Caenorhabditis elegans: one gene and its partner. The protein of the gene in region 2 interacts with the protein of the main gene of each other region in a pairwise test. Each region holds a gene or a part of one and is shown on either strand. Other genes may lie near its edges. The genes, in order: ZK829.7 and hxk-1.

Region 1 (16,354 bases), on a different chromosome or scaffold from region 2:
AAATCAGTGGAACAAAGTGCCAGCGTTCGAAACGTCCAGCAAAACTTCCTGTCGAATCTCTAGATGAGAAGGAACTAAAAAATGCTGAAAAGGGAATCATGAGTTTGCTTGAATCATCACCTTCGTCACCATCGTACCTTTATCAATATCAATACAATTCTCCACAATCAATACCATCTTCTATTTATGACTCTCTCTACCCATCGTCTCCAGAAGAATATCAGATGGTTCATACTTTTCCACAAACAGACCAATTATCTCCTAGTTTTCAAACTTCGCCCACAGTCCATTATGATTTTTATAATCAGCAATATTATGACAATTCATTTCATGAAAACTATTTCCAGTCATACAATCGGTTATAACTTTCGATTTATGCTTATGTCTAGATTTATCCGGTTTCAAATTACTAACCTGTTTTTCTTTTTTATCACAACTAACAAGCTCACGTTTTATCATTCTTGAAATTTTTTCAATAAATAATGAAAATAAAATCAAAAGTGTAGAATTTGTTCTTAAAGGCGCATGAATTCATTCCAATGGGTCTCGTCGGGAGAAAAAGTTTATGGTAGCGCGTCTTGGTGCTCGGATTTTTTAATTATTTTTTTTCCATTTTAAAAATATTTTATGCTCTATGTTTGGTTATGGAAGCGACCACCGAAAAAGCCACATTCTTCAAAAATTTCTGTCAAATCTCTGGGGGAGAAATAAAATTTAAAAATCGGTTGTCTTATTCTGAAGATTATTTACGAAGAATCAAAGATGTCGATCAGTAAAACAAATCGAAAGAGAAACAAAAACAAAACTGGTATTCAAAATTCGTTGAATGAGATTTTTGACGCGAATTTAGCGAGACACTGTCTCGATTCTTTCTCAGATGACGTCGATTGACCCTGCTTCTTTTGTTTTGTTGCTATGCAGATCGTATGTCCTATGCAATAGCACCACACAATATGGGCGAAGATCAATGACACTCGTCCCACTCTTCTTTTTTCCTTCTTCAAATAGGCGGAGCATCTTTTCTCTATTTTTCCCCCGAATGTTGCCTCTATTTCTCTCTTTCTCTAAATATCTATTTGCCAGTCACCTCCTCCTCCTCCTCCATGAAACGCTATCTTTTGCTTGCAGTTTCATCGGTCTCGCCCACCGATGATGGTTGCGCGTTGTCCTGTAAACAGTTTTGTGTTGGGCTCCTCTAGTTTTGAATAGTTATGGCGCCCGCGTCCCCAGGACGAGCTTTTCGTGGCCTAGAAGCGTTTGCCTACTCGCGGGCGGTGCCACATTTTTTTTAGGAAAAAAGGTTTTGATGCCTCTGCCAATTTTTTTTGATTTAAATATTTTTAAACGAGCTATAACTTAAATAATTTCAAACTGCCGCTGAAAATTATTAAAGGCGCATGGATTTCGTGACGAGACCTCCTGGCATTTTCCTTACTTTTCGATTCCGCCCGGATCTTTTCCTCCTTTTTGCACTTTGGCTTCTTATGTAAAATCTCTTATTTGTTTAAATTTTAATTACAAAATATTTTATTTTCAGGTAATGTTGAGCACTCTTTCCAGAGGCGCCCGCTCGGTCGCTGTCCGAAGCTATTCGGCCGCTACTCTCGATGCCCACTCCCAGGTGCTCGACGAGCAGAAGCCAATGGAGGAGCAGGTCAACCCATCTTTCTACAAGATGGTCGACTTTTACTTCAACAAGGGAGCCGAGGTCATCGCTCCAAAACTCGCCGAGGAGCTCAAGTCCAACTCTTTGAGCCAAAAGGATAAGAAGAATCTCGTGTCCGGAATTCTTGGAGCTATCAAGCCAGTTAACAAGGTAAGAATTTTGAGTCTCATTAATTTATCATATTTTATTTTCTTCAGGTCCTTTACATCACCTTCCCAATCCGTCGTGACAATGGAGAGTTCGAGGTTATTGAGGCCTGGCGCGCACAGCATTCTGAGCACAGAACTCCAACCAAGGGAGGTATCCGTTATTCCCTCGATGTGTGCGAAGATGAGGTCAAAGCTTTGTCTGCTCTTATGACTTACAAGTGCGCTGTTGTCGATGTTCCATTCGGAGGAGCTAAGGGAGGAGTCAAGATTGATCCAAAGCAATACACTGATTATGAAATTGAGAAGATCACCCGCCGTATCGCTATCGAATTCGCAAAGAAGGGATTCCTCGGCCCCGGAGTTGATGTCCCAGCCCCAGATATGGGAACCGGAGAGCGTGAAATGGGATGGATCGCTGATACCTACGCCCAAACCATTGGACATTTGGACAGAGTGAGTATAAATTTTTTGTGAGCATGTGAATAATTTTGTTTGCAGGATGCTTCGGCTTGTATCACAGGAAAGCCAATTGTCAGTGGAGGAATTCACGGACGTGTTTCCGCCACCGGACGTGGAGTGTGGAAGGGACTCGAGGTGTTCACCAACGATGCTGATTACATGAAGATGGTCGGTCTTGACACCGGACTCGCTGGAAAGACTGCTATCATCCAAGGATTCGGAAACGTCGGACTTCACACCCACAGATACCTCCACCGTGCTGGATCAAAGGTCATCGGAATCCAGGAGTACGATTGCGCCGTCTACAACCCAGATGGTATTCATCCAAAGGAGCTCGAAGATTGGAAGGACGCCAATGGAACTATCAAGAACTTCCCAGGAGCCAAGAACTTCGACCCATTCACTGAGCTTATGTACGAGAAGTGCGATATCTTCGTTCCAGCTGCTTGCGAAAAGTCGATCCACAAGGAAAATGCTAGCCGCATTCAAGCTAAGATCATCGCCGAGGCTGCCAACGGACCAACTACCCCAGCTGCTGACAGAATTCTTCTTGCTCGTGGAGATTGCCTCATCATCCCAGACATGTACGTCAACTCTGGTGGAGTTACTGTTTCCTACTTCGAGTGGTTGAAGAATCTTAACCATGTTTCCTACGGACGTCTTACATTCAAATATGACGAGGAAGCCAACAAGATGCTTTTGGGTAAGTAAATTTTCGAAATTTGAATTCCTAGACTTGCGTAGAGTAACACAATGAAACGATTTGCAAGTTTTCATCTGTGATAAAATTTTGTTTAGAAACTAACAAGGGCTAGATACTCTTACGCTTGTCACACTTTTCCGTTTATTTTATGAGGAGGGAGAGGAGGCCACTCAACCGTTGTCGTGAAAATGAGTACGTATGCACTCTAGGAAACAAATTGTAAATCAATTCTTTCTGTTTAAAAATGTTTGAATTTTCAGCCTCGGTCCAAGAATCTCTCTCCAAGGCCGTCGGAAAGGATTGCCCAGTTGAACCAAATGCTGCTTTCGCTGCCAAGATCGCTGGAGCTTCCGAGAAAGACATCGTTCACTCTGGACTCGAGTACACAATGCAACGCTCCGGAGAAGCCATCATCCGCACCGCTCACAAGTACAACCTTGGACTTGATATCCGTACTGCTGCCTATGCCAACTCCATCGAGAAGGTCTACAACACCTACAGAACCGCTGGATTCACCTTCACATAAGTACCCACTTCTCACTCATCTCATGGCTCTTGTATCCTCTTTTATGACATCAAATGGCTCCAAGCCAGGTTTAAATAGCTTCGTGTAACCCTTTAGTGCCTTTTCCATAGTTTTCTGTTTCGAAACTATCTAGGTTAACTAAAGTCTAGCTCTGATCTTTTCTGCCTGGTTCGTTCTCACTTTAGTATAATTAAATATTTTATTGGTTCCCCACCCCTTTTCATCCCCACACATAATTTTTTCGTTGTTTGTTGGTTCGGGACGGTTTCGAGACGGAGACCATTCTTCAAAAAAAAATCTCAAAAATAATAAAAAGTTTATTTCCTTAAACACTTCTACATGGTCATTGCAATTTTCCAATGATCATTGGAAAAGAAATTTCAGGGAGCATTAAAAACTTTATCAGACTTGTGTCTTTCTATTTACTATAATTTAGAATTTTCGATAACATATCACTTTCACATTGTGTGCCACTATCAGCTTCAAATTTGGGAATCACCTCCACAATTGTTGCAAAATTTTCGAATTGTCTAAACGAAGTTGATGCTTGGCCGTTTCCATATCAGTTGATCTTTTCCGGCAAAACCTTCGTCGTCAAACTGATGCAATTCCTGGAGAGAATGAAAAGAAATGTTGAAAGATTAAATTGGGTGATCGTTTGAACGAAGCTAATCTGATTGGACAAAAAGAAGAAATGATAAAAGATGATAAAGACAGTTTGGAGGGAATCCCCCATTTCGGTTCGAAGTGTACGCAAATGTTTGAGGGAAATATTTAGAATTGGAGATTTTTTTGAATTTTTGCAGTTACAGAGAAATTTTGGAATGTGCATATCGTGTAGTTTCACAGATTTTAATAGCATACATTTTCAAGGCGCACGGATTTATTCAGACGGGTCTCGTCGCGCCGAAAAGTTTATGGTAGCCTTCTAAAAATTCAAAAAGACTACCATAAACTTACACTTTTATAATATTTTGGTCTGTGTTTGTTCCCATGAAGTTTCAGAAAAGGCGAACCAAAATAAATTATAAAATTTTAAATTTCAAAAGCTCAATAAAAATCCATATAAGCCTGGGTGGCCATCATCTTCATCATCATCTGACGATTTTTCGTTGCATTTTTCATCATCTTCTCACTGCCAAGTTCATTCAATTCCACACCGCTCGTTTCGTCGTCGACAGTCGACACTGCACCGCAACATAAAAAAGCGTTGGCTGATGGTCTGATCTTCTCTGCTTCTCTTCTCACTCTCGCTCTCTCATCCTCAACGATTAGAGACCCACGTGGGTGAGAGTCGCAGAGATATTTGCGGAAACCGATGTCATGGCGCGACGAAAAGAGAATCGTCTCGTTTTTTCTCGCTTTTGCACGTATAACAAGTCGAGGACAAAGAAAATGTGTTGGGTGGGGTGACATCTGAAGTCAGATGATGACCGGGAGATGATTGGGGGATTCCCCTTAAATCATAGGATCATGTTTTGGCTCGAGGTCAGCTATCAGGAGGGAGCTCAGGGCCACGTGGTATTTTTGTTATGAGGAAGTTCGTCCTCTATTAAAATACAATAGGTTAATATTAAGCTGGGGGTCAGCGATTAAGTCATTAATTCTGAAACCGAGATGCAAGAGCGCTCCAACGCCAAACGAAATCGCTCCGCCCCCAAACGTTGAGTCTCGTTAGGTATTTCGTCGACTTTATTATTATTGGCTTTTTCGTCGTGAGACCCATGGTGCCATACAAAATATTATATTCAAAAGTAACTTTTTGATTTCTGTTCCAGTTGTAATAATACCAGACATCTCTACGGAAACAAACAACGTGTGTTTCTTATAGTTTCCGTTGATTTTTAATTACTTTATTGTTACTGAAACCCATTACACCACCATGTTTAGTGTTTCAACGAAATTCAGAAGGACATCGCCGTGGGCATTCTCTTATTTATGTCTACCGCACGCCAATAGGTTCATTATTTGCCCTTTCTCCCCCTGTACAGTTGCAAATTGACTTTCACTTGGGCTCTCAGATACAAAATCATCAGTGAAACAAACACGTGGCGATATGATGAGGTAGTTGAGAAAAGAGTTCAAACAATCAATTGTGGTCGAGGAGGAGAGATAGGCGGCTCTGTGCTCGAGAGAGAAAACCATTAGAGAGCTCACTGAGTTTACACAAACTCGAAAAGCAGCACAAACGAAATAGCACGAAACGTTCTGTATGTGGTGGTGGTGTTGGCTGGGGGAGATTCTGTAGAAAAAGTTTCGAGTTTGAACTTTCGGTCCTAAAGGGAACCACGTGTCTAGAGATAAGAAGCCTGACATTGGAATTTTACGCGATCTGGAATAAAATTTATTATAATTGATTGATAAGATTTAAAAAAATGTATATGATTCAACAACAATTCAACAATGACGAATAAGATTAACAACAAAACAAAGAAAATCAAAAATCAAAAATCAAGCTTATATCCCATATGATCTACAGCATCTCTGACCCATTGAGGAACTTCCCTCATCTTCTCAGAATCTTGTTTCGATGGATTTTCAGATTGAATTGGTCCATAATAGTCATATAGGAATTGCTTCAGAAATTGCTCAACAGAATTCGATTGAATCGCTTGACGAACGTCTCGCATAAGATCCAGTTGATGTTTGATGTTGTGAACTGATACTAGATGACATCCTACCGTTTCCTGGAAAATTATTGAGATTTAATTAAATTTAGCTAAGAACATTCTCAAATTTGTTCAAAATGGATCTATTGAGACTTGAATTTTTTTTAAAATAAAATTCGACATCAAATAGTATTATTGAAATGTCCAAAACTTTGCAAAAAATCTGCAAAAGTCTAACTTTTGTAGGGTGCGTTTATGAAACTTTTTTAAACGTATTTTGTCAGGACTACGGTAGGCCCGATAATGACGGGATAACAGGTAAGTAACTATTGGAAATTGTGTTTAATTTTGCAAATGGAGACATATTTTTGTGATGCTTTTTTCTCTATTATGTGTAACAGAGAGAGATTTTTTATTGATTTTTATGGTATTTACTTTGACAAAAGTTTTTTTTTGGTTTCATGGTTTTGACAAAAAAAATTGTGTTCGAACGTTATTTTTATTTTTTATAATGTCGTTTCTAAAAAGTGGTCTGAATATTTTCAACGTTTTACGGCAAAATCTAATTACGTTTTCAGCTGTAAATCATTACAGTTTTGCAAATAAACGGAAACATGGAAAATTTTGAATTTTTTAAATCAGTAAGTTGAAAAATACATTATTTTGAAAAAAAGCTCACTTTTCCAACAATCGAATGAATATATGCTCTCGTATAGTTCTTGCATGTATTACATTCACATTTCTTATCAATCGGCAAAAAATCTTCCTTATATCGTTTCTGATTCAATTGCATCAATCCACCTCTTCTGACCATTGCTGTTCCAAATCTTGCAGTTCTTGTTGGATATACACAATCAAACATATCAGCTCCCAAAAATGAACAGATTACTAAATCAACTGGAAATCCAACTCCCATCACATAACGAGGAAGATGAGGGGGTAAAGCTGCACAGCATGCTGCCACAACTCTCCAGAAATGATCCTTTTCTTCTCCTCCAGATAATCCTCCAATTGCAATTCCAACTTTTGCTCGTTTCGCCATTTCTTTAGCACATTCTTTCCGCAATTCCAAATTAAGACCACCTTGTAGAATTGGAAACATCGCTTGATCATCTCTTGTATGAGCCACTTTACATCGATCAAGCCATCGAATACTTCTATGCATTGCTTCTTTTACAATATCACCAGTTGTCAATACATGAATTACATGATCCAACTGCATCATAATATCAGCACCAAGTGCTTGTTGAATTTCAATTGATTTTTCTGGTGGTAAAGCCATCATCTCTCCGGTATGAGGACTTTCAAAATTCACTCCATTTTCATCAACTGTCATGAGTTTGCTCAACGAGACCATTTGGAATCCTCCAGAATCAGTGAGAATTGAACGATTCCAGTTCATCATTTTATGTAATCCACCAGCAGCCTTAACTCGTTCATGACCGGGACGATGTCCAAGATGGTACGTGTTGCAAAGGAGAATTCGACAATCCATCGAGACTAGTTGTTCCGGTACGATTCCCTGTAAGTTTATTATATATGAAACTGCATAAACTCGAGAAAATATTTTTTTAATTTTTTTCAGGGAAAATCGAAAAATGAGAATCTGAAAAAAAATGTTCATAAATTTAACTTGCTGTAAACTTCATAAAATCTCTACTTTTCAAAAATTTGAAAAAATTTTCACTGAAAGTTAAAAAAAAAACTAACAGGTTTTATTTTTTGTATTATACTTTATTATGATCACAAACAAATTTCACATTTTTGAAAAAGTTTTTTTTTCAATTTAGAATTTTTATTCTTAATTTATTCCATACCTTCATAGTTCCCTGTGTTCCAACAGGCATAAAAACAGGCGTTTCGACGATGGAATGTGGCAAATGAAGATTTCCACGACGAGCGAATCCTGCTCTCGCCAGCACGTCGTACCTCATATCTGCCTGGCACGTCGGGAGCGGTTCCGGTGTCATTGGAGACTTCACTTCGTAAGTTTTTTTTTCGTTAAAATAGGAAATAATTATTTTTATTCCAAGTATAATTGGTTATGACCTTTAATGAAGTACTGTAACGGTAATTTGTTTTTTTATAATATTCATTGAATTCGTTTGTTTACATATTTTTTACAAACTAAGATTACCTAACTAAAAATTATTTTCGTTCTCATGTTAAAATTATTTGGAAGGATGCGGATCTAGAGCAAGAAACGGGAGAAAATGTGGATTTTATGTTACAGGGAATTTTTGAAAAGCAGATGGCAACACTATACTCAAAATACCGATGTCTGGGAAGTAATAGAGTAAATGCACAGGATGAAATAAGACTTTCTGACTATATAATTATGAGTGAAGGGAGTCGGGACAATGTATGAAATGGCAAAATGGGAAATACAATTATTACACCTTTGGAGGCTTATTGAGCAATTATTCGGAAGTGGCGGCAGGAATTGGAACACCGCCGCTCTGATCTGCATCTAATGCTGAAGAGGGATCGCAAACTTCGAGAATGGCACGACCTTCAACCTCCGACATCGACAATTGCTTCAACACTGCAGACGCTTGATCGACTGGATAAACTCTGTAGTCTGGAGCATCGATTTGGCCTCCGGCAATCAAATTTACAAGGTTTTTCAGTTGTTCGATACTTCCTCTGGAAATTTTGTAAATGAAATAAAGAAAGAAAAAAACTTCAAATAGTACCTCGTAACTCCCATAATGGCCAGTCTGTTTTTAGCAACGTGCTTGATTGGAAGTTGAACATCAAGACCGGAAAGACCTCCAACAAATAAGACACCACCTTCAGCGAGACACTTCAATGATCGAGTGACAGTTCTTGGAGATGTCACAAAATCGAAAACAACATTGACACCGGTACGAGCCACATCCTTAGTTCTCATAATCAGATATTCTTCAAATTCGGAATCATCCCAGTGTACTACAAAGTCAGCTCCGTTTCTTTCGGCCAGAGACAAACGTTCTTCTTTGGCATCAGCAACCATCAAACGGATCTTTTTATCATTGTTGATCGCTAGGAAATGCTTGGCGAGTTTAAGAAGCCAAAGTCCAAGTCCTCCTGCTCCCACGATAAGAATATTGCAGAATCCCTTTGATTGTGAAAACGCTTCGACTATCGGTCTGGCCTGGAAAAAATTGTTGATTAATACTGAAGAAAAAAACCGTGGAAAATGTCAAACCTGAAGAACAGCAGACAACGCCCAGGTAGCTCCAGCAGGCAAAATAGATGCTACATGCATTGAAAGAGTTTCTGGAATTTTCACAAGAAAATGGAGAGTTGGAACAGCAACATAGTCGGCATAACCATGACTGCACATCTCATCAGTTGGCCATACGATTACTTTATCTCCAATAGTCAGATCATAGTCACCAGGTGTGCATTCAGCGCCGAATGACTCAACAATTCCGGAAACTTCATATCCTGCAATAACGGATTTCGAAAATGTTATTTTCATTAGTTCAAGCCAAATTAATCTAAATTTCAAACCTGGAAACAAGCTGGTATCTTTGATTCCGTTGGTAATTCTTGCTTGCTTCGTGTTGGAAACTTCTCTATCAGTAAGGCAAACTCCTGCATAACAAACTTTAACGCGTGCTCCCTTTGGTGGGACATCTGGGATTGGCTCCTCGTCGAAAAACTTCACTTCCCGAAGATCCTTTGGAGATCCCAAAGAAATTCTTCGGTTTGTTGCTGGCATTTTCTGCAAGGAAAATTAAATTAAATAGGTTGAATAAACACTTCAATATCAATAAATTTGTTAACAAAGAATAAACCATCAAAGTGAGAGCATGGGTCACGTGTGTGTTTTTTGAAGAGACACAACTTTTTAGAGAAAAATCAATAGAATCAACATTGTAAACACTTGGAGAGAAATAAAATATTAGTGTTTTCAGTTTAAATGATAGAAAAATTGGTTCAATCACTTGAGACATTAAACTTTGTTGAGAAACAACGTGCCGAAAACAAAAAATCCGATTGAAAAACGGAAAGTGCGCCTAGTCACGATAACGGGGTCAAGAATGGCTTTGCGCACTTTGCGTGCCTTTTGGCGGAATTTTAAATACTAGTTTTTAATAAAGAAAACTTTTTTGCATTTTTCCGGCAAAATTACAGTTACGATTATTATGAAAGAATCTACTTGACTTACAATTAGAATTAGAGATTCAAATTAACTATTGATGTTTTGAAAGCTCTATCAACTTAGGCTTTTTGAGAATAAGCTTTTTAAGTAACCGGAACAACAACTAACTGACATAAACTTTGTGAAATGGAAAACGAAAATATTGCAGATGAAAAATAACAGTGGGAGAGTAACGAGACGCAGGACCCTACAGATGCCGAAGCATCTATTCGTCCCTCAATACATGTGCTTTTCACGTGCACACAAACGAATTTCATCATGACTTCTAGGGGAGAATGAGAGTAGAAAAAAATCTCGAATATTTTCCAAAAAATTGAAACATTTTTCAAAAAAAAAGTTCAAAAAAAATAATTTGAAATATCTCCAAAAAAATCCAATATTTTGCAAAAAAATAATTTGAAATTTTTCCATAAAAAAGTTCGATAATAAAATAGTTTGAGTACATCGAAAATGAGGAAACATCAATTTGTGGTTCGACGTTGTGAACATTTGAAATCAATAGATCATACACATTTTAAATAACTTCATAAACGTTTTTTTCCAAATCTATAAATGAATTAATCAACGTTTAGATACATTGGTTTTATCTTTTTGGAATCCCAATATCTTCAATGCAGAATTTCTGTGATCTGATAATGAACAAGTGATAACAACTGGATCAATTGCAGGATAAACGCTTAGTATAGGCACAATATATGTTGACAGTATTATGAAAGTATTTAAAAATTTCAAGAACTTATGAATCTATAACCTACACTCCATAATTATCACCGGCAAGTGGGAGGAACCATACAACAAATAAAGGGATGATTGTACTTATTAATGGAATTATAGTTTGCGCAATTAAAGATTTGAGAAGACTTGAATGTAATCTTTTCGTAGTACATGATAATGTGCATGCTTTCAGTGACAAGTGAATTTTTCGTGCAAAGAAAACATAGATGATCATAATAGAATTGGTGATAACTGCGGCTACAAGCATTCCCAGAATTCCACTTTTTGACCAGTCATTCACGGGGTACTGTAATTGTTTTTGAAGGGAACACTCATATGATATGATGAGCAAATATCATAGTACAGTCAGTCAACATTTTGAAGTTTTTTTTTAACTTTCCGTCATAAAGTGGTAATTACTCAGTTTTCACTTATTATGATTTAAAAAATTGATCAAGATACATTTTGCGTTGTATGACTTATTATTTGAAATTATTAATATATTCAAACATTATGCGAGGGCCAGCTTGCAACAATGTCTGATATTAATAAAAATGGCCAAACTTTTTGAAAATTCGCCAAATTACCAAAACGTTAACTGAAAACTTTAAAAAAAAACTAGAGCAAATTAAAATCGATATTTGGTCTTTTTTATATATTCTGAGTATACTTTCGTAGTATCCTATCTTACTATACTGTACCTTTATATTAAATGTCTTTCAACTTACAATTCTCACCTCATAATTTGCAACAATCATTGCCAAATCTCTACTATTTGTGTTATGAATTTCTTTGAACTTTTCATCAATTAGATCATATATGTGATCATCAGGCCACATAATTATGTGACCGATGAGCAGCCAAGAACTTCCAAAACACATTACAAATAGGGAATTGAGGAAAATAGTTTTTGGGCGGAAAAATTGGGCTATGGCAAGCGGTCTGGAAAATTTAGTTAAACAAATTAAATTACAGACATGCTTATAATGTCTCAAACCTAAGATTAAGAGAAGACAGTATCAGTAAGAAATTACCTGCAGACTGCTAGATATCGATATAAAAAATGAACAGCAAGCAGTGCAAAAGTGTAAATTGAGTAAATTGAGTAATTGAGTAAAATTGAGTAAATTAGGAATTAAGCTGCAAGTTGTTAAAGGATGTACATAGTATTCTCTGAACACCAATTTTTTGTTGGGAACTCATTGAACAGAAGGAAACATTAATTTGGGGTAATATAATTATTGTTTAGAGAGGGAATTACAGTGAATATATTGGAATATGGCTGTTTAGATGTACTGATTTCTTCTCGTTGGAACCCCAATGTCTTCAATGCAGAATTTCTGTAATCTGATAATGAACAAGTGATAACAACTGGATCAATTGCGGGGTACACGCTGAGTAGTGGCATAAAGTATGTTGACAGCATTCTGAAAATATTTAAAATTTTAAGAACTTATGAATCTATAACCTACACTCCATAATTATCACCACCAAGTGGAAGAAACCATATGACAAAGCAAGGAATAATTGTACTTATCAATGGAATTATAGTTTGAGCAATTAAAGATTTGAGAAGACTTGAATGTAATCTTTTCACTGCTCCAGAAAATGTGCATGCTTTCAGTGACAGGTGAATTTTTTGAGCAAAGAAAACATAGGAGATCATAATAGAAGTGGTGATTAATGTGGCTATGAGCATTCCCAGAATTCCACTTTTTGACCAGTCATACACGGGGTACTGTAATTAAAATTGGTTTTTATAGCATTAAAAGTGGAGTATCTTCAGTGGCGAAAAGCTTTTTTTTTAGAATAACTGGTCCTAAAATGGCGATCACTCAGTTTTGAAAATTAGGCAATTGACAAAAATTTGGGCAATTTGATAATTCTTAAAATAATTTGAGGTGTTTAATAATTAAATTTAGCCATCTTGATCTACAATTGGTGTATTCCCACAAAATCACCACTTACGATACTCTAACTTTATTGTTAGGTTATATAATTAATATTCTTACAATTCTCACCTCATAATTTGCAACAATCATTGCCAAATCTCTACTGCTTGTGTTATGGAATTGTATGAACTTTTCATCGATTAGATCATATATGTGATCATCAGGCCACATAGTTATGTGACCGATGAGCATCCAAGAACTTCCAAAACACATTACAAATAGGGAATTGAGGAAAATAGTTTTTGGGCGGAAAAAATGGGCAATGGCAAGCGGTCTGGAACGTTTAATAAAATCAATTAAATTACAGAAATGCTAATAAAAGTCTCAAAGCTAAGAATAAGAGTATCAGTCTGAAATAAAGAGTATCAGTAAGATATTACCTGCAGACTGCAAGATATCGATATAAAAAATGAACAGCAAGCAGTGCAAATGTGTACGCACACATTCCACATCGAATTGAAATAAGGTTCTGAGCAAGTAGCGGATATTCAAATAAAAGACCATGTGGTACAAATATAATCAAACAATTATTAAATCCTTCGATTGCCTATATAAAGATGAGGTTTAGTGTAAAGTCGGTAAAACTAACATACCGTTGAAACTACTGCTTCAGTAACTGAAGTTATCAAATTGAAAACTCCAAAAGTCATTAGAAGATACCGATATCCACCAATGTACCGAGGAGATTTAAACTTTAAAAGAACTAAAAACAAGATATTGAAAATAAACGAAAGTACACAAAAAATTCTCGGAGACCAAGTATGGAACCAGCTCATGTATATCATTTTCAGGATAATAATCTCTGAAAGCAATTTATCTGAAAAAAGGTTGCAATGGGATGTGTTTTGTGAATGACTTGACAGCTGTGATGTTGATTAGTGGTTATTTATAGGCTACAAAGTTCATAGATTCATGTAAAGTGTTGTGACAGAATTAAATTACATAGGAATAGGTTTCTAGGCCACAATTATACATTTGATATACGGGTATTGATGTTAAGATTTTTCGAAAATTGCATTCCACGTCACTTTCCTTTTTCTTTATAATACGTCTGAAAAAATAGTTTTATAAATCCAGGAGCCATTGTATAAATAAATTACCTCAAATGTCAAGAATTCATCCTTCTTACTTCTCTTCTTTGACCTCTTCTTTGATGCTTGACGTGGCTTTACAATTTCCTTAGATTTTGGGATTATTGGCATCATCACAGTTTCGTGAGACGGGGTTTCAAAGAATGGGCGGTACACCAACTTCCAGAACTCTTCCAAATCTTCAGACTCTTTTTCAGGTAGATGTTGCTGAATTTATCTCATTATTCGAATAAAAAAAATTTGAAGAAACTTACATGTGCAAAATTCCTTTGTTCTTCACTCATTTCCTTTTCAATTCGATTCCACGAACGTAGATGAAGTTGGCGATGCCAGAGGATACTTGAATTGAATTGTTTCTGAAATTTTTTGTTGAATTTCTAATTTCAATAAAAAAAACTTACTTCCTTCTCAAACTTTTCAAAGTGATGCCACATCTTCAGGTATGAATAATAAGCGAAACCAAATGGAGATACAATTACGAAGAAAAGTATGAAAAACTGGATTAACTGAAATGCAAATTTTTTTCCTAACACTAACATTTCCGGGTCTTACATCGTAGAAATAGTAATATTCAAGATCATTTTCAGGACTCGGAAAGGGTCTGAAGAATGCAGATACGGCGAATATAATCGAAAAAGCTGGTGCAGTTGTCCATCTCCATTTCCAGATGGGCCACGTGTAAGCTCGACTCCATTGGTCATTGGATGGCTGTCCCATAAGTTCATGAATATCTCCATAGATTGTGTCTAAACCATATAATTCGAGGACAATAAATAGTTCTGCAGTTATGAATATTCCGGTTGCAACTGTTTGAATATCTTGAATCATTGTCAGGTACAATGGCCCACTCTTTAATACGCAGGTTTAGAGAAAGGGTATTACAAAATGTAAGAAAAACCTCAAAACATAGAAAGAGCCCAGAAGTTGCAATAACCATTGAGACAAAAATACATAGGCAGTCGAAAAAATAGGTTTTCATTTTAATATTGAAAATATCTGCAATTGTAACCGTTATTGTCTTCATTATAACTGAAAATAAAAAAATTATTTTAATTCAAAATGAGCCGATGTAAACTAACGAGCACAAGATTTCCAGCCAACAACAACAAGTGTAGAATAGTACAAGAATACCCATAACCATGAATTTGCAGCAACTTGTCGGAGGAGCACAGGAAATGTTGAATGAGTCAGTAGAAGTCCTTAAAAACTATATGTTTAAGCAATGACCTTTCATGCAGCTAAGATTGCAAAATACCATTTGGAAGAACTGTTAAATCGTAAACCGATTTCCGACCGAGGATAAATCTGGTGTATCCGAGAATTGAATAAACGGTTGCACTGATAATTATACTTAATCCCGTGTCCAAAATTACTGCAAGTGTGGCGACCTGAAATTCATGTTGTAGTAGAGAAAGAGGCTATTGCCTGAGAATTTCAATTTTCTAAAAGAGGAACCAATCATTAAAAATTGGGGTTCTAAACATGTGAAATGTAAATCGAATTTTTAGGAATTTCGGCAATTTCAGCACGTGAAATAAGAAAATTTTTTAAACCGGCAATTTCTGAAATCGCCGATTGCCGAAAATTTTCGATTGTCGCTCACACCTGGGTAGTAGGTCTCTTTTCAGGCTGTCAGGTATTTTATCTTATTGAATACGACTTATAAGTTGGATGATTCGATAGGATTAATTTCCTGTATTAGTAGATTATTATGATTCAAAACATCTCTGGATTAATTGAACTTTTTGAAATTAAAAAATTAACTCACTCGAAATGTATTCTTTTCCGGAGGTGCAAATGACGCCATTACAGTGTGACCTCCAATTCCGATGCTCAGAGATTGAACGACCAAATTCAGTGCATCTATCCAGATCTTACTGTATAACAACTCTGCCCATTCGATTCTCAACATTTCCTGAACTCCCTCAATTGCTCCATCCAAATGTAGAGAACGTACAAGAAGAAAGTGACATATGAGAAATGCGAAGACAGTGGGAATCTGAAATAATAAAAAGATCAGAGAAGCTTCTTTAATATACTCATGTACATAAATGAGAGGCGTAGTTCTAGTGTTCACTCGATTTTGAACAAAGGAAATTGTCAGCCAAATGATAAAAATAGAGTATGCAATTCCATAGTTGAAATTAGTGAATGACATGTGGGAAACGCCAATTCTGTGGATTACATTTCTGAATAAATATTTATTATAGTATTGTAAATATTGTATTTATTACGATTGAAATCGTGATCAAAAATACATATATTATGTTACTTGGATCCGTTGAAAATCAGTACCTTAAATATTGAATTTCTGCAGATTCAACTGCTTCCA
Region 2 (17,337 bases):
ATGAAAGATTCAAATGTTGAATAACTAAAAGTGTTTACAGGTTGTCTAGCTGTCTAGAATTAGGATTGTTATTTTAAGTCGGGTAGCTTTTAAGATGTTTAAGTACTCCCAGCGATCTGTACTACGAGTCCAGGCACTTTTCGATGGGGGTTTAATTGAAGTCACCTCCGAGTCACTATCGATACATAATTTAACAAGAAAACATGGGGAAATAATACAAAATTTTGATTCATTGATGAGTGTTTGGTCGATTTAACTTAACAGCGTTCAAATAGTTGCGGTATCAAGTTAAGTTTTTGAACAAAAATTGATCACTTTTCCATAGTTATGGGACATCCAAAAAATATACTTGCAGCCTCTAGACCAATTGAAAATGAGTGTTAAAGCAAGATTTATTGCGAAAATACGGTAAGTGTATGATAGATTAAACTAGAAATTGTGTAAACACGTCTTGTCTAAAAGTTCATTGCACTTTCAGACACTTTCCTAGTGAGGTCATTTATTAAGTGCTTTAAATACTTTCACAACACCATAATTAGGGAACACAATCTAAAAGCAGAAAGTGATTCAAATAAAAACTTTTTCCAAACTATATAATCACATGTTTTCTATTAAAAATTTGGAACAGAAAATTTGAAAAATCACGGGCGGTCTTTTCCCGGTCAAGTCGAAAACGAAAAATAGTATATGAGAAGACGAAAGGCAGAGAACAGATGAGATTTTGGAGTACAGCATCCTCATAATCCGGCCAGTTTTTGAGTTATGGCGTATCCGTTGGGATCCGCACTGATCGGATAATCTATTGAAAATTTATTAGTAATCAAATAATAATAATAATAATAAAGAAAACGGAAAAGGAGTATACGCGTGAGAGGTCATACCGGAGCAGAAATAATAGAAAGGGAAAGGTGTTGAAAACATGAGTGATACGGTTGAATGAATCATACAAGAATATCTCGAATGGAACGGATATAGAGAAGTAACTGACATAAAAACAGAAAAAAACACAGAAAGAAAATGGATTGGAATTGAATTCCAAAAAAGATTTGAACCACTAGAGGCAATGGGATGGAAAATATAAATTCTGATTGTGAAAACATCTAAATTTGCATTAAACTATGATTAAAGGTTTCTAGGCCACGAAAGCTTTAATTTTAAATAAAGCAAAAGTTTATTTCACAAGATGTCTTATCTATGGTTGGATCTAAGGGCCTCTGTCGATACTATATGGTATTATGGTAGTTCTTCCCGCTTGCTCTGTTGTATTACCTTTCTGTGAATGTGAGTCATTCTAGTCTCAATTTTTAAAAATTTAACTTGACTTGTAAAAGTTATTATGAGATTAAAACTACCATAACATCATAAGTGGTTTATCTATCAGTATTGTACTTGTTTCTTCTAGACCAGCTGCACGATAATTTGAATTGTAATGTGGTTATTACTTTTTTCACTTAAGTTTTCACTTTTTTTTAATCTGGGGCAGAACGCCTGCCTGCCTGACCTTAAAGGGGCCTACGCCCAACTCGTGCCTCGATTGAAATGAGAAAGCTGGAAATTTGTAAATTCGCGCCAAAATGCAAAAAAAAGGTAAAAGGACAGGAGGTTTCAGGCAGGCGCCAGACCTCAAATGGAAGTCCTAGTTGAAACTATGATGATAGTCAAGACTAATATTAGAAGAAATATATTTTTCAATTTCAGACAAAAATTAACTGGGTAAAAGCTATAAACTTTGAAGAGCCAAACTCCAAAAACTCTAAAATTTCAGTAAACAGAACGAGATGTACTTTAAAAGTGTTTGGAGTGAAAAATGAATAATTGACGCTACAACAGTCTATTTAACATTTCAATAAGTGACCACCGCTTGAGGATCATCCAAATAAGTGTTATTTTTACTTTTTCAACAATTTCAGATATCCAATGATTAAACCGTTTGTTTGTATATTTGTTCTAGTGCATTACTCATGAATATACATTTTTGATCATTTGGAAATCACATGCAAATTTTCCGAAATTTCAAGTGAAAAACTAGTTATTTGAGTTTAGAATATTAAATTAAAAAACTAAGAGTTCAAGTTTTTATCTGCCTCTTCCTATATTAAATCCGGAAATTGCATTCTTGACAGAAATAAAAAATAAGGGCACGTTTTCGACATGGGGTGTCCGACAAAAATGTACAAACTTTGAGCTTTAATAACTTGGCTCATAGCTGGCGCTTTTGCATTCACTAAATGCGAATGCCTCAAAAATAGTTGCCCCATCATGGTCATTATTGAGGGGATTGGTTTTGGGAAGGGTAGAACACTGATTTGCGCGGGTGTCTGGAGACCGCGAAAATTGAATATTTTCTTTATACTGAAGAGTTTTATATTTTTCAATCCCATACGAGCAGTTTTTCTGACATTTGATTCCAATTTGAGCACAAGAGAGAACTTCGAATTACCAATTTTTTGAAACTATTTGGAAAAAAATTGACCAACTTTCCAAAATGTAGGCCATCATTCAAATTTTGCAAAATTAAAAAGATGGATTAAACGTGAAAAACTTTCCTACCACTCTCTCTCTCTCTCTATTTTGGGGATGAATTCGATCATTTTCATTTCTTATTTTTATAACGTGAGGAGAATTTAATTTTTAAGATATTTCGAGATTTCTACTTTTTTCTAATCCTATTGAAAATCGCACCAGGGGTGTGCGGCAAATTTGCCAAAATTGCCGAGCTCGGCAAATTTTGAACTAAAAAATTTGGCAGTGCAATTTTGACAACAACTATTGGTCTACAAAAGTTTTGTAAAATGGCACAAAATTGAGTTATAGTAATGGTTAATCAAAATTTTGAGATTTGCCGCACACCCCTGGACCGCACTATTCGAAAATTTTAACCTCACTACCAGCTGGGCAGGCCGGAGGCCTGCGATGCTATTGTATTTCACTCAAACTCAAAAATCAGGGATTAGGGCCGCCTTCTTACTCTTAGAAACTTTAAATCATTTCGGAAAATCGGCAAATTGCCGGTTTGCCAATTTGCCGGAAATTGTCATTTTACCAGAAAAAAAAAACCAACTTAATCTACTGCGAAGCCTAGCGCGCTTGACGCGCTAGTCTACACTTGAAATAAAATTTGAAATTTGAAAATCATCATGTCTTTGTAAGCTTCTTGATGCAAATTGGAGATTGTATTTTCAAATCTTATATGAAAAAAATAGTATTTATTATAAATACGTAGGCATAAATAATAAGTACTTTGTGGTAATCTCCGAAAAATAAATGAGACCTGAGAATCGGAAATAACAATTAAAATTTCACAAAAGTAAAAATCGAAGAATCCGAAATTCAATTCCTTATTGAATGTTTTCCTTTTGTCGTATTCAGAACAAATTGTCCCTTTTCTGTTGTTTTTTGGTATTCACAATATATTTCATCAGAAGAATCAGAACAATCGGTGACTTTATCACAGAGACCACCTGGTGGAAGGCATTTATGATTGTCGTGGCATTGGAATTGACCAGGAAGACAGATTCTAGGTGCTGAAAGAAGTACTTTGACTGAATTTTCAAAAAAAAAACCAAAGAGATTTAGCTCTTGCAATCGCTACTATCGTCGACATTTCGAGTGACGTCACTTTTTTATTTACCGCAATTTCAGGAGATCAGATATAGAGGTAACGCTCAGACTACACGTGTAATTGTATTCAATAAAGTTTCGGAAAAATTTGTGAAGAAACATTCTCTCCGCTACTCACCGAGTCTCACCGCGGCGACTACAGTAACCACTAAAAATGTTTTCAATTTTCACATATGTTCGAGTTTTTTTTAAATCGATTTTGTTAATTTTCATCACTTTTCCTTTTTTTCATCACTTTTTTTTTTTTAATAGTTTTTGTTTTTTTTTTTAATTTTTCTGAATATTATCAATTGAAAACTAGAAAACCACAGTTGAACCAGAAAATACGTATGAAATTTTCAATACTTTTGATTTTTTGTATTTGGTTTTTTATGTATTTGATTTTTTTTTTAAACCTACGGCATTTTTCTTCATCTGCTTGATTGGAACATTGAGCAAGACCATCGCAAAGATATATCTTTGATATGCATCTGAAAAATGTGAATACTTTAAATTCAATTTTGACATTATTATTTTTTTTTAATTTAAACTGATTTTGAATATGAAATTAACCTACTTTGGATCAGCTCCACCGCATTCGATTTGTGATTCACTACAGTTCGAGCTACATTTCTTTCCATCGTTGAGAAGGTCAAACCCTTCTCCACAAGCACATGTTGCCGCGCCGTTCTCCCCTAACAAACACAACTGGTCACACCCTCGTGTCTCACATGTCGACGTCTCTGCAATAAGAAAATTTCGTGGCCGCGTGGCCTAATGGATAAGGCACCAGACTTCGAATCTGGGGATTGCAGGTTCGAGTCCTGCCGTGGTCGAAATCTTTTGCTTTTTGTACCAAGACGCTTACCTTCGGGTTGCAGGGATTTGTGGAAGACTTTAAGGGAATATGGGAGAAGAGCGGTTTGTGCCAAAACTGTGATATTTTCTCCGTTGTGCTTATTTGCTCTTAAAATTCCACGGTATGTCCAATCGGTCCAGTATAGGTAATCATCAGCTATTGCTAATCCAAAGACGTGTGGAACTGATCCTGCGTCAGCAATTATTACTCTCCTTCCAGTTCCATCCATGTTAGCAGATCTGTAGAAGTACATCAGTCAGGAATACCTAGGAATGAGCCCCAGAGAGTCCAACAGATCACGTTTGCACAGTTAAAAAAGAGCTTTTGTTTTTACATGAAGGTCATGTTTTTCGGTTATATTATTTTGATTGCATCTTATAGAGATATTAAATAATAAGACTTACTCAATAGTATCCAAAAATGCATCAGCCCAATAGATTTTCTCGGCAAAAATATCAACTGCAACGGCATTTGGCCATGTGATTCGTTCGGTTATAATTTTTCGGAAATGAGAACCTAAAGTTTTACTATAGTATTTTGGAAACTGGTCAACGCCTAGCTCTAACTACTTACCATCCATTGAAGCAGCAGCAATGAATGCATTTGCAGACCAATCAGTGACAAACATAATTCCTTTAGCTGGATGTAGAGTGATTGATCTCGGAAGCGTCATAACATTCTTATACAGGGGTTGACGGAATCGGCCATCGAGACTTTGAACGAGTATGTCTTCTCTACAAGTAGTAATGTTGGTATTTTTATAGTTAAAAGAAGTTGGGGTATTACTTATTTGGAAACTAACCTTCTCAAACTGTACAAATTCCTTCCAATCCAATCAACTGCAATACCTTCTAATCCGTCAACATCAAATCTTTGTACTGCCTGTGGGAATGTTCCTTCGATATTCATTCTTTCAATTACATTTGCTCCAATATCTGCATAATACAGTCGGTTCTCTTTCACATCAATATCAATCATTGCAGTCTTTTGTAATCCGGCACGTTGTAATTGGAATGATTTTCCATCAGTTGAAATGTTCCATACACTTTGACCATGTGCAAAGAATAGCCACATTGGAGCTGAAACGTGTTTTATTACTTACATTAAGACTAAACTGGATAAAGTTGAATCTTACATTGATCAATTCTTTCGCAAGTTTTATTGTCAGTTGCCAATTTATACGTTCGTGGATCACAAGTACATTCAAATGTTCCAGGAAGATTAACACACTTTTGAGAGCATGCAGAGGATAAAGATTCACATTCGTCGACATCTGTAATTTGCAAATTTTGAAAACATCAAAAATATAATATTGCAATTTCACTAACCTAGACACTTCTTCCTGGCTGCTTCATAATAATAACCGGGTAATCTACATTTGCAATTTCCTTGTGTGTCGCATTCCTCCAGAGGTTGAGCTGAGAGTTTTTATTTTTGAACCTTTGAGAATGTATACTAGAAATGCCTACCTTTTGGTCGTGACTTTATTGCATTGGTGTTCAATTCGCATCTAGATTCCGAATTCCGTTTAGCTAACATTGATAAAAAGGAGATTTCTATTTTCTCCGCATCTCGACACGATGTCTCCTCCCGTTCAATCAAGCAGTCGACGTACGCTTGGATTACTGTACATTCGTAGTTTTGTGTTGGGTTAGACACTGAAAAATGGATTTTTGAGCACTTTCATGCTAGATTTGAGCAAAAGTAAGTGGGCTGAGCCGGGGATCGATCCCGGGACCTCTCGCACCCTAAGCGAGAATCATACCACTAGACCACTCAGCCACGTTCGCACGCTCGCCCCTCTGTCGTATTTCCATTTTACTTACCAGTGTCTGGCGTCTCGTCCCTCAAAGTGTTGGTTTTGTTCACAAAGCACTCCTTTACGTTCTTGTCGCTGCAAGAAGTAGCCGAATAGTTTATGTATGAAAGAGAGACACAGAGCAATGCTTACTTTTCAACCTCCAAAAGGCATGCCTGCTCCTCCTTCATGATTGCTGCAAACTTCGGCTCACAAATCGTTTCATACATGAATTCAATATTTGGCGCCCGGGATTGTCTGAAAGTTTTGGTATCAACTAATTGCAAAATATGGATTTTAAGCTGAATTACGGTCACCGGTTTCGACGAGACCGAAATTTTTTCAAGAAAAATATAATAGTGTGCGCCTTTAAAGAATACGGTAGTTCCCCACGCCCGGTTCTTTGGAAAATTCTTTAAAATTTTTCTTTTCATCGCCGTTGCTCTTAAAATCTCAAATTGGACGAAAAAGCAATTTCAAGCTTCAACAGATTATAATTGCACAGATTATTCTCACAAACACAGCTTGCGATGAGCAATGTATTCTCCGAGAGGATTACACGAAGTACTTGTTTTGATGTCTTGCGTGTATTGCCCACTTGCTCTTTGTATCGTTTGCAAATATGTTCACCTTTTTCAAATCAACTTTACTACACACATGTAACAGTTTTATGCGTGTGTATATGTGTTTGTAAATGTTATTATTCATTGCGAAACGGAAGCGTGAGCCACTTGACAACTCACGAATGACTACCGATCGAAAATCGAAAAGTTTAACTCTTCAATAGATCTTTTGACTGTGCTCCTAAAGTCAAATTTTCTTCCGTACTCAACCAAAAGTCAAACCCTCCAAAAAACAGCCTGCGATATATTTGTTCTTGTTCTAGAATCTAGATGAAAGTTGAAACGTCGAATATTATGTAAGATTGCGGTTTCGTGGCTCATCACCAAATTATTAATACATCCCCATTATTTACCTGCAATCTGGTCGAACACCCTGTGTGCACATCATATACTGATTGTACTTGGCACAAGTCTCTACAACATCACTAAGTGGTGGATGAAGTACATTATTGGTCAGATCGGCAGCATAGTCAACAAGTGGTCCAATGCAGTGAAGTGCTGCTGCTTCTTCAATAAGATCACACGGTGATGCATCTGGCTTTAGAATCGGAATGGATGGTGGTGGTGGAGCTGATGTTGTTGGTAGTGTTGATGGTGTTGAGGATAGGAGGACAAATACTGGATCTGAATGAATGAATGAAATTTCAGAGTCTTGATTTTAAGGATCATACCTTCATTTCGATGAGGAAGTATTAGGGGTGTTGCATGATTTACTTCGCTATCTGAAAAAAGAATTACTGTATTTCTACTATTAGTATTGCGCCCGCCTGTTCTACTTTGAAAAGTTATAGCAGGAACAACGACAACTGAGATTTAAACTGTTAAAGTTGAATAATATTGGCAATACTAATAGAAGAAGTACGGTATTTCGTTTAAAATTATTTTAAATAGAGGAACAGCTACTGTATCAACCTCTAAAAAATGAATCTGAATATTGAAATATCAGTTGACTTTGTATTCTTCTAGAGCACACTAAAGGGGTTTTTTTGCCAAAAAATCGAAAGTGACCAGGAGCAATGTTCAGATCAATTTTGCTTTTTGGCTTATTTTTCGCCAGGGTAAGTTCAAGAAGCAAATATATGTGGACTCAAAGACAGAAATTCTAGAATACGAAATTGAACGTCGCGAGCAAAATTTCATTCATTTACAGTATAATGTAACCTAGTAACCGTTGAATGTGGCACAAATTCTGACAGTATACCAATTCTCAAACGGAAAACTGAAACTTACAAATAAAAACTGGAAAAGAGAATAAGAGTAGCAAGAGTAATTTCATGACAACTCACAATATTCAAGTGAGATTATAAGGTATTCTTCAAACTTAGAGAGATGGAGTCAGTTAGACGCAGAGAATAACATTGAGGGGTGGAACTTCTTCTACCGGTTGTCGTGTGCAAATACTCCCAAAATTATTCTTCCAACGTAAATGAATGCGGGTGCATATTTGATCAGAGGGACTAACTCACTCCACGGGTCAATTAACATGGCAAGGTAGATAGAGAGTATGATGATTTTATAGACACAGACAGTCAATAGAAGATCTCCAAAAAGAGAGATGACAAAAAAGTAACAGGTACAGGGAAAAACAATGTGCCATTATAGGTGACTGATGTTTGGCAGCCGACATTTTATGGGGGATCCACGCGTGGAATATGACGATCAGACGGTCAGAGATGTGTGCTACATTTGGCATTTGGACATATATCTAGAACCCTGCTGAATTTTTATCAATTTTTTGTTGCATTCTAACATTGTAAGCGTACGCCAAGTGTCATCCGTTCTTTTTTGAAAATTCGATCACCTTTGTTTTTTTTGAGTAATTGAACATATAACATTAAAATACATTAAACGTATTTTATACACAAATTTTCGGTAAAGGATGATCACTGATAAGTAATATATATAAAAATTCCAATCACTATTTCAGAAAATGAATAACTTAAGATATATAAATCAATTGGCAATCCATTGTGGATTTTGTTATTTCTATTTGGTTGTAGAAGGGAGGTTAGTGGTTTATACGTTTGATGAAGAAAGGAGTTAGTAAGGGAGGATGCATGGGTGCTCTAAATTGGTACAGTTATGCCTAGAAATTGGAGAATGTTTTAAAAAATAAGAAAAAAGTATATCCCGTATTCGAATCTATTGGAAGTTTGTTTCAAGTGTGGGCGGGGCCTAGGTGAGGGATAAAGCTCGATGAAATGGGTGAAAGTGACAGAAAGCGAATTTTAAACAGATGAGAATCGACGAGACTACTGATTGGACGATGACGATGAAAGAGAAGCGGCAAGCTTTTCCTCTTTCAGTCGAGTGGCAACAGCAGCAACGAGAGCAGCTCCACGTCCAGATCCATCTTCAGAGAGCATCAATTTATACTGTAAATTAATCATTTTAGAATTCAAAATGTGAATGATTTGTGATAAAATTCATGAGTCTTCAATTTTTACCTCAATGTCTCCAACAATCAATTCTCCAATTTTGGCATCAAGAAGTGTTGGATAAGTTGGATGGAAACGATATACAGATCCATCAACTCCGACAGTCACATGTTTCTTGTTCATTCGATTGAGCAACATAGCGATTCCAGCGGCTGTCAGATGGGCAGCACGAGTTGAAATCAAACTACACACGTACGCCACATTGGCACAATCATTCGCAGTGATCATCTCAACACCAATATCCTCGAGAATTTGATAAGTCTTTTGGAATGTTCGATCATCATCCTCAAGAAGATCACTATCAATTTCCGATACAAACTTTGTTGGAAAGCAATGAGGAACCGAAATAGCATCCGAGTTTCCACCGAACAGCAATCCTTGCTTTGCCAAATCTTCGAGAACAACTCGGGCACACTCTCCCATATACATTCCGGAGATCATCTTCTCATAGAGATGTTGTCCTGGGTTGATGCTCTCACGATCCACAACTTCATCCCATTCGGTGCGAAGGAAATCGAGTGCTCCATCGTCCCCAAATGCTCCCCATTCAGTGTTGATGATCATCTCCTCCGGTGTCACACCGTGTTCATCAACGTATCCAGCCAACTTCGGGATACGATCCAAACGTTCCATGTAGCATGCATTGGTACCTGTTCCCACAATGACTCCGATTTGACAAGAGTTTTCTTGGAATGCACAAGCCATCAGTGTTCCCACTGTGTCGTTGAGCAGTGCCACTACGTCAATATCAATATCCTTTCTTCTATGGCACGCTTCGTGAAGCAAAGTGACAACATCAACACCCTCTACTCCGGATGCTTTGAATCCTTTCGTCCAGGTGACCAATTTTCCTCTGAAAGAATTATTAAATTTGAACTGGCGCTAAAATAATAGTTTTTCAGTAAAAAATGTAAGCTAGATTCCCCTACTTTGTCAATCCTTCCTGTTCACATGGAAACGAGAAAGTGAATCCGAGCGGCAACTTCTGGGCATCCTTTAAATCGTTCTCACCCATAAACTTGGCCATACAACCTGCGATATGATCGAAGAGCTGAAAAAAAAACGTTTTGACTGAGAGAAAGACAAAACAAAAACTTACAGCTTCACCGGTTCCTCGCATGATACTTTCAGGAACACGGAAGATTTTTCCAGTCATTTTTGTCTCTTTTCCTTGTAGTTTGATGTGTAGAACACGGAAATTGGTACCACCAAGATCAAGTGCAAGAAAATCGCCACTCTGAAATGGAAATTTCCAAAATCTAACAAATTATGTATTTTTTACCTCAGTTCCGTTCGGGACAGAATCAACATAGGTTGGAAGCATTTTAACAGCGACTTTCTTCGTAGAAGCTGAAAAATTTCAATTTTAAAGGCAACCATACACTCATAACAGCTTACTAGCAAGACCCTGCTCCATGCTTTTCTCCATCGATTGCATGATTCGTCGAAGCTGCTGATCGCTCAGAACAAGACGTTGGCATGCTTCCTGGATCTGTAAATTTATATATTATTTCAATCACATATTTTTTTTGAATATTATTTAAACTACAATTATTTCTCTTAATTAATCATTTTATATAGCAACCGCACCAAGTCTTTGGGTCTGGAAAGGACAAGTGGTGGTGGACGTTGCTTTTTGATGACCGCATCTGTGGCGATTCCGTTTTGTGAGTCGAGTATTGGGTGGCATACGATAGATGACATATTTTAGATAATTTCTAAAAGTATTTTAACGATGAATCAAGAAACACGAAGAAGGAAGAAGAAAAACTTGTAACGATGAGAAAAATTCAAGCGACAAAAGTGGCAATGAAAAGCTTATTTTATACTTTTTTCGACAAAAAGAACATGATGTTATCTTTTTTGCTTTATTCAGCAAAAAATAGAAAAATAGAAAGACAGTAAAAACGTCTACAAATGTGAGAGAATGATTGATGAAAAGAAAAGTTACAATAAAAAGGAACCGGCTACCGTACTCATCTGATGAAGTCGTGGTGGGACCCAAAGGGCTTTATGTCCACATTTCCTTTAAGAAATTCTTATGTAGGCATACTTTTTGTATGAATCTACAGAAATTTTCCGATTTTCTTTCGAATATAAGAATTATTGGTTTAAACTCTGTGCGCCTTGCGAAGAAAATGGCAAAATTTCTCTAATTTTCTCCGCCTCGTCTTGATTGTTCTCAGTCTACAGTAAACGTGATTAAATCAGCGTAGCTCTATCAAATATTTGCACATGTTCATTTTTTTCGTGTACATAAAAATTGAGGTCTTTCACTAGTATTATATCATCAGTAGCAGAGAACAATCAGCCGGTCACTGATGGGACGGGAAGAGGAGGAGAAGGAGGAGAATATAAGAATGTCTCGGGGGTCGCCATCTGATAACAATGCAGAAACGAAGAAGAACAAAGGCGGCTCCTCTTTTATAAGAAAAATTCAGTACCGGTCTCTTTCTTACTTAATTGAATTTTCTTGCATCCTCGAACCACAGTGTGGTCTGATTTATGAAAGCATCCGAGAAATTTCAGTGAGGAATTATGGGGGAAAACATAATAATAATCATAAAAACACCGAACATCAGATCAGCAATAACATCGTGTGGAAGTAAGTGCAGCAGCATCATCAAAGCAGACAGAGAAAAAGTGGGCGGAGTCCGGCTAAGAATCGAGAGATCAACACGTGGCGAAAAGAGCGGGCGATCAGAGAAAGTGGGGGAGAACAATATGTAGATCAAAATTAAATATTATAGGTCTGAAGACGTACAAAACGTGACTTTTCTTTTCTCCAGGAGATTGCAATTTTTTCAATTTCAAATTTCCACGGGACAGAACATTTTGCAAATGAAAACAAACTTTTTAGCAGTTGATCCACAACTTTCTGAACCTCGTAGTTAAAGGCTCACATATTGGTAGTATGGTTCTCGCCGCGAGGAAAAATTATACGGTAGCACTTTCTTTATTAATCAGGATAGGTTTAGCAGATGTCTTCGTTACTAACAAATGTTCTATTTTAATTGTCATTTTCAAAAAGATAAGTTAAATTTTCGAAAAAAAATCCGTGCAAAATTTTTGAAAATTGAGAAAATTGAGTGATTACGGTATTCGTATTTAAAAACAAAATTATACAAAATGTAGACTAAAATAATCAGACACCAAAAAGAAACTATAAGCAAACATTTTTCCATATTGTGTCCGTTTCTTAAGAACCCTTCAACTTCATCTATACAAATATGATGATTTGTCTTATCACGTCATCATATATATCTTCTTATACATTAATGAACCACGAGAGACGCAGACAAAGAGACAGTAAAAACGTGACTGTAAAGGGAAACGGAATGACGTGCATCATCTATATATGTGTCTATGTTGTAGTGCTTTGATGTCTGACGAACTGTATGACTCTCCCCCGGACAACACCCCTTGCTTCATCATAAAAACAAGTTGGCTGAATTAAAACAAGAAATCTACACTTATTTGGAAGATTGCGACGAAAATACAAAGAACAAAATATACTTGCGAATTAGGGATCTGTCAGCTTCTTCTTCTACTTATTCTTCTCTCAATTTGTCAATATTTGACATATATCACACGGGACGACAGTGTCTCGGAGCAAAAATCACTGCTGAACCGAGCGCGAAAAATTGTTTATGGGATCGATTACTTTGTGCCAGGCGGTGCAGAGGTTCACTTTGGAGAAAATTTGAAATTTGAGATTTTGGAGAATGATGTTGGGGAAAAAGTAGAACTTCCGGGGACATGATTGCTTTTTTGGAGGCGTGACGGGGGACCTTATACCCGCTTTTCATTATGGTGATCATACGAGAGGATGCTTAATGTTTTTCACAATTTTAGATCTTACTTTTTCGGTAAGAAAAAGGAACGTGAAGACCCCAAAGAAGTGCCTAATCTGGAAATTCCAAAGTGTTATCCATTTTTCCAGTCGCATCCCCGACTTCGCGTATATTTCAAAGGACGACGAAGAGCACACCAGGAAACAAGGAGGAAAAAGCGAGAGACGAGACAGGCGAGAGGCGCCCCCGGAACGCCGAATAATTTCGACGCTTAGATTTGGTTACGGTATGTAAGAATCCCCTTTAGCGTTCAAATAATGGAACTGTCTTAAATCTAGGACAAAGAGGAGCCAATAAATTTTACAAATCAAATGTAGGTTTTTTGTTGGAACTATTCAAACGCTAATTTACAAAGAACAAGTTCTCACATCAATCACTGATAAGTTGGCAATGTGCCAAAATGAGTCTTTGTCTGTAAATTGAAACAAAGAAAACTTGACAGACATGAATCTATGGACATTTTGGATGAAAAATTGATAAGACAATATGTGCATCTTGTTTTCTTAAGATAACACATTTTCAGAGAAATTCTTGATATTCACGGAGAGAAAAGTGGTATGATCATATAAGCGTTCAGTTGATCATTCGAGAGCATCCATAATTATGAATTCATTTAATTTTTCTCAATTTTCTTCTTGTTGCAAAATCAGCACAAAACACAATAAACACTCACAGAACACTCAATTTACGATTGGAAAACGTATCGAGTTGCAGTTTTTCGTATAAACATTATATTCTCCAGATATGAGTGGAATCAGAAATAACTCATTTCAAATTGAAGAGAAGTTGATGTTGATGATTACTTTGATGATTTAAAACATCACATTACGGGCACAATTATAGGACACTACAAAGTATTTTGTGTTTAGAATTGGAACATAAATGTGATGTGACTTAGAGGCAATAAAAATAAATCGGAAGAACAAAATAAAATAATTTTTCAACAGACTACACCAAGTACTTAATTATGTGGACTTGATTTCACAAGATTTGAATGTTGGAACAGTTTTTGGCAATGTAATTTTAGAGTTTCAATTGTTCACCATTATAAATTGATTTCCGAAATTATTCAAGACGCACAGTTCAAATTCAAAAATAAATCGTTGGCGAAGTTCTGAGCCACTTAGGAAAGCGGACATGTGAGGATTAAATCTTGTCGGACTGATTCCGGATCGACTAGTCGGAAACAAAGTTCTAAGGGAATTTAGATACTTTTGAATGTAGTGTATGCCACTGGAGGAGCAGAAGCTTTGAAAATCGAAATTTATCCAAAGAATTACTTGTTCAAATTTAAACGGAAATGAATGTTTAGATGGAAATTTTGCAAAAAAAAGGAACACATGCAACAGTGTGTGGATGTTCAACAAACAAAGATGGGAAAAATAAAAAAGAAAAAGTATAGCAAAAATGAATTGTCTGTGTTCTTTGGTTAGCTCTATTGTTATCTTATCAGATCGAAAAGTATTAAAGAAAAAAGTTTCTGGAACATTTTTACAAGGCTGTGTGGCAACAATAAATCTGCTTTAAAAACAGGAAAGTTAGGTAACAAAAATGAAATTCCGGCCAGAAAAATAATTTTGGAAGGAACAGGAAGGAATTTATTGACAATAGGCTATAAACATTATATTCTCCAGATATGAGTGGAATCAGAAATAACTCATTTCAAATTAAATATCAACAGGCAATAGGGTAATAATCATGATTCAATCAGAAGCTTTCACTGTTTTTCTAGATATACCCATTGTTATGGAAAACAACAGTAAAGTTTTCTTGCCTTTATAACGCATTTCTTTTTTTTTAACAAGGGAAGTGATGTGGGAAAATGTGGCTTCAAAGTTAGACAAATTACAAACAACAACTATATTTGCACAAGTGGAAAGACAAAGAGATCGCCCCCACTAAACGAATGTTCAAGAACAATATTTTTCAACGGGAGAATTGAAAACGACGGAATTTGGAAGGAAAATATGAACTGACATTTTTGTCAAAATTCCAAAAAAGGCAAAAACCAGTTTGGATTTTGTGCTAATATTCTAATGATTCTAATGAACAGAAATAGCCAAGTAGATTGAAAAAATATTTTTCAAAATTTCAAGAACAATTTGGCAGATATCCAAATTTTTGGAGAATTTGGAGAACTTTTGCATAAGCAAAGCTCTTATTCAGACCTACAAAAATTTTCTTTCAATCAGCATGAAAACTCCTGGAAAATAAAATTTTTTGTCGACTTTCAAAATTATTAACGAAAAAAATCAGTAATTGCCATTATCTGCCAAAATAATTGAATTTTTTTTTGAAAAGTATAACTAATTCATTTGATCATTTTAGTCCCACAGCAGCTAAAAAATTTCACTACAATTAAAAACAACAGGAATAGATGTAGCTTAAAATTTTGCCAACTAGTCCATATCTAAAATAAGAAGTATTTCCAAATTAATTCATTTTTATATTTCAGACATTTGCAATTTATTAATTTCTATTTAAAATTTAAGGTTTCGTCTCAAAAGTAGCTTTAAAAAGTTAGCTGAAAGTACGGTTGTCTTTTTTTGGAAAAAAAAACGATCAAAATTAAAAAAAAAAGGCGCACCATTTGATTATTGGAAACATCAATTGAATTTTGAATGCTCATCGATTTGAGCATCTCAAATCGTGGTCGTACTTTACTACATTTTCCCGTTGCTGCCATACTATTATCTCCACTTGATGACAATACTTCAATTACTTCTTCTCTCTTCTGCTCTTTTTTGTTAAGTTTTCTTCTGAAAAGCAAGCAATTTGGAATAATTATAACGGAATAAAGCAACGAGAATAACGAATGAGATGAGTCACAGAGTGAAATTTTCGGATTTAGTTCTTTGAAGGAAAGTCAAGGAAAAAGGTTATGAAAATCTGCTAAATATAAAATTTTTAGTACCTTCGACAGCATGATCCATCCTCACAAAATCTCGCAAACATATTAAAAATGAAATTGTTCATTTCAAATTAATTAAGAAATAAATTTCTTTGTTAAACTTTGAAATAAAATAAAAAGTTTTAAATAAAGTCGTGAATTTCAATCAGGATTTCATAAAATTTGAACTTTCATTGCTGTGTGGATCTTCTGCCGATTCTCGGATAATCCCCTAAAGACAATGCTTTTTCTAGAGCTACCACTGAACCGCAGGCGCGGCGACATGATGCATCGAGTAAAATTAGAAATTAATTTATTAAGATGACTCTAAGGTGCCTCAAAATTTAGGTTGCATACTGGCAAAGGGGGATGAAAACTTCCCAAAACTGAGTATGAAAAAAAAAAGAATAAGGGGAAGGTGATCATTTGAAGAGCCAGTGAGAGCTTCGAATAACATGAGGAAGATTTAAGGAATGTGTGCGCAAGTTTTTACAAAAAAAGTAGAGCTCAAACAGTTTGAAAGAACAGCAGTTTTATGGGGTTTTGGAATTTGTGCGTAATATTATGATTTTCAAAAACTGTGAACGAATGATGCAAAGTGTTAAGAAGGAAAAGGGGACCCAGAGGGGCGACGTATGACGTCATGACAAAATGGGGAAAAGCATTGCGAAATGTGATGTGCGCAGATGGGCACATCAAAATTTTAGGACCTTGTTTTTGGCACGTTCTCTATCAAAGTAGTTTACGTTAAAACAGTTCATAAAACAATTAGTATTCTTTGGATTCAAAATTTGCTTTAATTGGTTGAAGCTAAGAATAACAAAAAAAAACCGTCGAGAATGGAGAGTTTTATTATGAATTTCTACTATAAAAAAGAAATGTATAACTTATTTCCACTGTGAAATTTTATTTAAATTTTTCTCGATATTACTTTGTAGTTTTCTGAGTATTATCGTTTATTCGTGAGAAAATTTAAAGGTGCACACATCTTTTTCTTGGGTCTCGTCGCGATCAAATTCTACGCCCGAACGGTTATGGGTCAAAAAGCTCGTTGTGAGACTCTATGGAAACAATTCCTGTAACTTCTTCAATAAGAATTTAGCTGAAGATCCTAACGAAAAATGATCGTCTGAAATTTCTCAGAAGCCAAAAAATATGGAGAACGATTTTTTGAAAAATGAAAAAAATTATAAAAGCAAATATATAAACGATATTGAATCGTGGGAACAGTTTTTTTTTGCTGGAATATAAAGTATTGGTATTGATTTTGAATGA

What was found.
Region 1: the proteins of hxk-1 (region 2) and ZK829.7 interact in a two-hybrid assay, tested with the Caenorhabditis elegans proteins (2 studies listed by BioGRID).

What each region holds. Positions count from the first base shown.
Region 1 is NC_003282.8:11,951,712-11,968,065, forward strand, and holds ZK829.7 (Enoyl reductase (ER) domain-containing protein), read right to left. Parts: upstream 9,825-16,354; 5' UTR 9,822-9,824; coding exon 9,611-9,821; intron 9,545-9,610; coding exon 9,303-9,544; intron 9,249-9,302; coding exon 8,809-9,248; intron 8,759-8,808; coding exon 8,533-8,758; 3' UTR 8,194-8,532; downstream 1-8,193. Other genes in the region: tbx-36 (Putative T-box protein 36), read left to right, coding at 1-365; gdh-1 (Glutamate dehydrogenase), read left to right, coding at 1,541-1,816, 1,864-2,268, 2,314-2,977, 3,238-3,503; tgt-1 (Queuine tRNA-ribosyltransferase catalytic subunit), read right to left, coding at 5,948-6,190, 6,792-7,634, 7,930-8,082; srj-1 (Serpentine Receptor, class J), read right to left, coding at 12,199-12,406, 12,452-12,717, 13,001-13,205, 13,312-13,478, 13,525-13,716.
Region 2 is NC_003279.8:9,262,759-9,280,095, forward strand, and holds hxk-1 (Phosphotransferase), read right to left. Parts: upstream 11,037-17,337; 5' UTR 11,023-11,036; coding exon 10,909-11,022; intron 10,811-10,908; coding exon 10,717-10,810; intron 10,669-10,716; coding exon 10,601-10,668; intron 10,556-10,600; coding exon 10,418-10,555; intron 10,370-10,417; coding exon 10,248-10,369; intron 10,172-10,247; coding exon 9,328-10,171; intron 9,256-9,327; coding exon 9,133-9,255; 3' UTR 8,722-9,132; downstream 1-8,721. Other genes in the region: F14B4.1 (EGF-like domain-containing protein), read right to left, coding at 3,331-3,524, 4,021-4,091, 4,178-4,343, 4,469-4,698, 4,864-4,975, 5,033-5,193, 5,262-5,538, 5,595-5,732 and 7 more.